2 linked regions of the Danio rerio genome follow. The protein of the gene in region 1 interacts with the protein of each later gene in a pairwise test. Links are inferred from orthologs where the notes say so. Each region holds a gene or a part of one and is shown in the gene's direction. Other genes may lie near its edges. The genes, in order: suv39h1b and cbx5.

Region 1 (4,391 bases):
TAGACTGTTTATAGTTTTATTGTAGGTAGTACATTATAAAATGCATTATATTTATATGATATATGATGATTATATGATAAATAAAAAATTTCTATATATTTTAAAATATTATTAAATTAAAAAGTTTCTATGACAACTTTAACGTAATACAGTTTGGTATATTTAGCTTCGGCCCACCACCCTCAATCAAGTTTGGTTTTTGGCCCTTCATAAGAAAAAGTTTGGGCACCCCTGGTCTAGAGTCTTACCAGTCTTTCTGGGTCACATTCTTTTTGTATATATGTCCAGTGATGTTTCTGTAAGGTGGACAGATGCACTTGCAACGCACATCTTCAAAACTCTGTGAAAGCAACATATTATTTTCAGAAAGAGACAAATGATTTCTCTAAAATGAAGAAAGGCACAGTATTTAGCAAGGAATTTGAACTTTTTTTAAATTATACACAATTCATGTTAGAGTTATGCTCATTTATTTATTTTTAGGATAGGTATATAAAGCACATTAGTATAAATATAGGGGGTCAAAAAAACTTTTGTTAAATCATATCATCAACCTCAGTAAGTCCTTCCTCCATATCTCAGACATCTTTTACACAATTTTGCTGATTAACGTGCAAATGTAAACCTATTGACAAACTATTAAGGTTTCTTTTCTGGAGTAGTTTGTATAGGTTAATACTCCAAAGATTTAGTTTTAGTTTTTTTTTGTTATAAAAAAATGCTAAGTGCTAATCCAGTACTGGGTTGCAGCTGGAAGGGCTTCTGCTGTGTAAAACATCTACTGGATAAGTTGGCGGTTCATTCCGCTGTGGGGACCCCTGATAAATAAGGGACTTAAGCCGAAGGAAAATGAATGAAAAATGCTAATTGCATTAATAACATGTCAAAACCTGGTAACATTCGAAATGTTGCCTTTTTTCACGTTTATTTACATATAGAGGTTTTAAAACATAAGAATACAGGTGAAAATAAGCCAGTAAAACTGTACCTTATCTGCAGAAGCAAACGACACCACTTCTATGAGAACAAGAAACGCCAGGAAAATTACTGGTGTCCGGAGACTTTGTGCAATGAAGGACATGACGCCTGTAAAATAATACATTTAAATTATTTGTCGTTTAGCTAAAGGTGATGGTTGTACTGTAAACAATGTACTTATAATCAGTTAGTAAATGGTCTATGCCGCATTAATAAGAGGCTGGCAGACAACCGGTTTCGCCGTTTAGGCCTTCTCCTGTCTATATTGCGTATTTTAGAGGAAATAAAATTACATAAGGAGGTACAAATACATAAAATGTTACACGCAGAAATGCAAAACTAAACGCACAAACATACAGACAGTATTTACATCAACGCATTTGTTGACTTTTCCCGGAAGTTCATGAATGTTTACGTCACACTGTCACGTGACGATGACACTCTACATGTCCCGCCTTCGCATAGATAGATCTATGCCGCCTTCATAACCGGCGAAAAGCAAAATAAAAGACTTTACAGCACATCTCCGTTTTTACTTTGAGTGACGTAAACAGCCTTTTTGTTTCCTAGATGTTAGATTATGAAATTAAAGCCTTAGTTCAAAAAATCGTATTGACTTTTTTGTCTCGCCTGGACACCAAAAATTAACCATTCTAGAGTAATTAAATGGGTAACCGTTAAATGGAAAGCATCTCACAGATAACTAACGTTAGTGTCTTCAAAATATTATCCATATCTGCCTGTAAAATCAGTCAAATTAAGATCTATTTTTCCTCAAAGTTCACACATTTAACGAATGTGGCATTTTGCATAAACTCTTCCCGATTTAAATACTCTGCCACTATTGGTTGCTCAACCCGTCACTCAGACGGGGCGCATCCAACCACCGAGCAGCCTTTAGTTCCATAGTTTTGGCGGCGTGAGACGATGGCGGAAAATTTGAAAGGTAAGAATATGCCGTGTTAATCGTTCACAAACAACAGTTTATTCAATATAAGTCTGATCTATAGCCCGAGTTGGTTAAACGACATGTTTTCTCGGAGGTAACCCGGAAATAAGCCCCGAGTTTTAAAACATTATTTGCTGCAAGTTGCTGATACAAATTCACGGTAGGTCGGTGTTATGGCCAGCGCGCGCTCCTGAAACACGTTTAACAAACTCTTCGACAATCGCTTGTTCCCCTGTCCAGATTGTTTTCTGAAGTTTTGTTAAGTTGTACAATGTTACATATCTCGCATATGCGCAGTTTTAGCATACTTTTCGGTGTTTAGCTAACGTTTTTATTTTCCTTTGCTAAGTAATTCATATTTAAAAGCAAATGAATACACTAAAATACCAATTCAGCCTGTGAATACTCTTAGTTTAGCTTTGTTAAAGTGTTTAAATGGCCCATTGGTTAGCGAAGATGCTCGCGACCAGCCCTGTAAAGATTAACTTACTAATGTAACGTTATTCCATAAAGCATGAAGGAAGCAGATCTGTACATTACTCTTTTGTATTGTTTTTGTAGATCTAACGTTATATATTTTATTAAAGTTATACGAGAAACTATAATCACTATCTTGTTAGGGAGTCTATTCTCACAATATATTTTGATAAGAAGTTTTAATGTTGCTATTACTTTGATAACATGACAATATTGTAAGTTGGTTTAATTGGCTTTGGTTTGTTGTTGGTTTTTAGAGTTTTATGATCAAATATCTTGAAAATGTTTGTAGTCCATGTTATTAGCTACATAATATTATTTGAAGACTATTTCACTTTTAATTAATTAAATACATTTACAAATACACAGTACATTACAATACATTTTTGTAATATTATTTCAAAACAACTTAATAGTTTAAGTAACATAACAAAATATGTACAAAGTAGTGATTACGGTTGTTTCATAAAATTTTTTTTTAAAGAAAATTATATTTTGTCATGTGTGTGTGTGTATGCATGTTAACCAATAATATTATTTTCACATGCTATTTATTTTGACATGTTTCTTTCTGCAAAGTTTTAGTTTACATGTATGTTAGCAACAGCTTAGCCGTGTTTACTAGCGTGCACACATCTGTCATCACCAATTTTACGGTTGTTGCTAGATCGGATATGGTTGCAGCCAAAAGTTAAAAAAATTGTATTTATTATTCATATAATTTCCCATTAATTGCATTTTATTACCATCTACTCCTACCCAAACCCTGAACCCAACCATCACTTTTATGTAAAAACAGTAGTTGTACTGAGTATTAAACATGTAATTTATTAAATTACCCAATAAATTGTATCTTATAACGTCTACTCCAACCCTAAACCCAATCATCACAGTACTGTATAAATATTCTTGTACAGTGTCACAAAAATGAAGCTATATTGATGTGCGTGTCCGCATCTGTAATCTAGATTTTACCCACGTTTTTACCTCTTTTTTTTTCTAAAATTGACATGTAATCATGTTTTATAGCTCAAGTTTGCAGGGTAGCATGCATTGCTACGACAGAGCAGCTGGAGGTGGTCTGTCGAGATGAGGGAGTGGTGTGCGAAGAGCTCGGCATCAGCAGGAACAACCTGTGTGATTATGAAGTGGAATATTTGTGTGACTACAAAAGAAAAGTTATCACAGATGGGAAGAGGCAAACAGTACAGGTGAGCAGAAAACAACACATTTGTAAAGCATTAGGTTTTATTTGAAATCCAAGTTTCAATTTTTTTTATCCTACATAACAATTGAGAAAGGATTTCAGATTTACAATAGGAGGAACTGGCATTCGGAACAAGGGCTGGGCTATATGGCAAAAATGCAGTCTTGATAATTGTTTTCTATATTGAACCGTAACGATATACATTTCTATGTAAGTTGTTAATGCATCCAGATTTAAAAGAGTAGCCCAACAATGACTGAAGCCACAAAAATTAGAGGGTACTTTAAATGGCATAACATAAATTCAGCTGATGAATTGTCGGTGGGCAAAAATTTGCTGCATGTCTAATATCAACAAAGTTCTAGATTTCTGTTGTTGCACATTTCTGCTGTGATTGGAGCGATTCGATTTAATATCATTTATTGGCCCAGCCCTATTCGGAACTGCTATTCATATACTAGTAATAACAAATGTAATTTTTTTTAAAATATACTTTTATTATATGCAAACATATATAATAAATAAGAGCTTAAAACTAATATTTTGCAATATAAATAACATTTAATAAAGTATTCCTAAAACAAATGTCACTGTAATTATTCTTAACACTGATAATACTGTTAAACTAGATGATTCTGTAATAATAGTAATTGTTGTATTTAACAACAGCAAACTTTCGTATTATAGAACATTTATTTTGATGGAAAACCACATAGAAGTGCTATTAAAAGGCTGATCTTTTTACTTATTTATAAAACCTTAAATCTTATTACATACACA
Region 2 (2,849 bases), on another chromosome or scaffold:
ATTGTCATCAATACAAATATGTAGTTATGTAATTATTTTTTATTTCAGTTCAACCACTTTCCTCCCCAGACCAGGGAGCCACACAGGTCAAATTTGCTTGTAGTAAAGACTTTCAGAATCAGCCATGGGAAAGAAGAGCCAGAACCGTGAAGATGATGAAGCTGCTTCCTCAGATGAGGAAGAGTACGTTGTGGAGAAGGTCTTGGACAGGAGAGTTGTGAAGGGGCGTGTGGAGTATTTCCTCAAATGGAAAGGCTTTACAGAGTAAGTGCTCATTGCATTTTGCATAATCCAGTACTGTCTGAGCGATAGTTTTCATGTCTCAGGACCCCTGGTATGTGTTTCAGCATGTCTTAAAATGCATGAAAAGAGACTCAGTTCAGATACAATGAAAATGCTCTTAATTTAAATACTAATGATCTGGCTTACTTACTGGGGTTTGCTTGCAGTTAGACGGGGCATCATGGAAAAAATAAAATGCATTTTCTTTTAGTTTTTTCCAAATATTTTTGACCAGTTGTAATATTCAGATTTAAAAATGTACCTGTTCAAAGAAAAAGTGGTGTAACTGTAAAACTTGTTAAATATCTTAGCAGAAAAAACTAATGCTTATTTGAATGCAAAAGCTACTCTACAAAAAATAAAGTGAAGAAAATAGTAAATGTTTCTTAGCCAGAAAGTGAATGTTCATTGTGTGAGATACATGCAAAAATTCAAGGCAATTTACATTCAAAATCATAAAAAATGATTCACTGTCACAATAAATAGGGATGTCCAGATCCGATCACATGACCAAAATTCAGGCCCAGACGTGCGCTTTCAGAATCGGACGTTAACTTCTGATCAGGACTCGAATAAATAAATATATATATATATATATATATATATATATATATATATATGTGTGTGTGTGTGTGTGTGTGTGTGTGTGTGTGTGTGTATATATATATATATATATATATATATATATATATATATATATATATATATATATATATATATATATATATATATATATATATATATATATATAGCAGTGGCACAGAGTTAGACCACTTTCATTTGGTCAAATGCCAGCAAAGTAAAACATGAAAGCAGCGTAAATCGTGAGTATATCTGTGATTTGGAGGTATTATAAATTTTATGACGACAACATTGCTATAGCAAACGGAGTTGTTAAAATAAGGTGATTTAATTAAAGTATAAGGAACATCCTGGATCTGTTTCTTAGCTCTTCTTTATTCTTTTTGTTTGTGTTTTAGAAGTATCGGATTGGTTTTCAGTATCGGTAGATTCTCAAGATCAAATGACTGACTCGAGGGCAAAAAAGCTGATCGGGACATCCCTAACAATAAACATAAAAAATTAAACGTGAAAAGTTTGTTACAGGTTTATGAAAAAAGATGTTCCAAAGCAGCATTTTGTGTCAGTAGCCTATTAAAAGTCAAGAGATTTTGTGCCCAAATTATTATTTTTTTTATAACTCTTTATTGGCTTATTGTCACAGTATCTAATTGTTAGGTTTGCTTATTTGTGTTTGAACATCTTCCTTGAATTTAGAAATCATAGAATTATGGCAAAATATTACATAAAACTTCACATGAACGTTTAGCCTGTATTAGTTTGCACCCTTGATTTGAAGAAATCCAGTGGCTTTAATAGATCATGCATTTATTGTCTTGCAGGAAACACAACACATGGGAACCAGAGAAGAACCTGGACTGTCCAGAGCTCATCTCTGAGTTCATGAAGACCTACAAAAAAGGAAACAGTGCAAGCCCACCAAGCAGCAAGTCCTCCAGTACAGGCCCCTCTTCAGCCCGTCCCAAAGACAGCAGTGGCAGCAGCAGCACCAGCAAGAGGAAAAACTCTGAGGAAGAGAACGGGAGCAGCAGCAAACCCAAGAAGAAAAAGGAGGTAAAGTATTTACAGAGAGTGTGAGAGAGCTCACACTTTAGAGTTATTTGCATGCTATTACCATATCAATTACGTCCAGTGTGCTGAAATACTTTCTCAATTGTTTCTCACATCAATACTTGCCTAAGTGGCATTGGGAAAGGGTGACTATTGATTTTTAACGTGGTTTTGATTGTTGTTTTTGTTTTTCTTAGGATGAGATCCTTGTAGCGAGAGGGTTTGAGCGAGGCCTGGAGCCTGAGAAGATTATTGGAGCAACAGACTCCTGTGGAGACCTTATGTTCCTTATGAAGTGGTGAGTACTACAGAGTATTGCATGTGAAAAGCTGTTTATTTCAGTGAAACTGTTTTGCTCAGTGCTTGGAAACAGTTAATATCAAGTCACAAAATCTGGCCATAGATTTATTAAAGCGATAGTTTACACAACAAATTTTACTCACCATTTACTTAGCCTCGGGTGATTGCAATGCTTATAGTTTCTGTTTTTTTCTGTTAAACATACTACTAAGATACTACTAACAAATCAGGGACTAAGCCGAAAGAAAGTGAATGAGAGAACAAAATATATTTCGAAGAAAAAAACTGGTAAACATTGGCATCCATAGTAAGAAAAACAAAGAATAAACAACTCGAACAGGTTTTGACAAAGTGGAGGTTGAGTAAAATGATGCTGGGATATTCATTTTTAGATGAGCCGTCTCTTTAAAATCTAAAATCAAGGCCTCTTTTTTTTCAAAACAGCTTTTAGACTAAAAATTAAGTACTCCGATTTTATTTGGATCCAAGCACATGGGGACCTCAAGATACATGCTAATGATAAAAATAAGGCAGGCTGTGTTTAGCTGGACAATTTTGATTGAATCACCTGAAGTGGAGGTTGAAACCATAGTGTTAATCGCCACATTTACACCTGCCATTATGTCTGGAAATTA

The links.
Region 2: the proteins of suv39h1b (region 1) and cbx5 interact in binary tests that used the Homo sapiens proteins (3 or more experiments, as listed by UniProt). The link is inferred for Danio rerio from reciprocal best matches to the Homo sapiens genes SUV39H1 and CBX5.

The regions. Positions count from the first base shown.
Region 1 is NC_133183.1:27,656,444-27,660,834, reverse strand, and holds the start of suv39h1b (histone-lysine N-methyltransferase SUV39H1b), read left to right. Parts: upstream 1-1,495; 5' UTR 1,496-1,905; coding exon 1,906-1,924; intron 1,925-3,433; coding exon 3,434-3,615; exon of another isoform or gene 3,616-4,391. Other genes in the region: proton-transporting V-type ATPase complex assembly regulator TMEM9 isoform 1 precursor, read right to left, coding at 249-340, 989-1,102. UniProt on the Homo sapiens protein: Histone methyltransferase that specifically trimethylates 'Lys-9' of histone H3 using monomethylated H3 'Lys-9' as substrate. Also weakly methylates histone H1 (in vitro).
Region 2 is NC_133198.1:39,406,114-39,408,962, reverse strand, and holds part of cbx5 (chromobox protein homolog 5), read left to right. Parts: intron 1-48; 5' UTR 49-124; coding exon 125-264; intron 265-1,685; coding exon 1,686-1,917; intron 1,918-2,111; coding exon 2,112-2,212; intron 2,213-2,849. UniProt on the Homo sapiens protein: Component of heterochromatin that recognizes and binds histone H3 tails methylated at 'Lys-9' (H3K9me), leading to epigenetic repression. In contrast, it is excluded from chromatin when 'Tyr-41' of histone H3 is phosphorylated (H3Y41ph).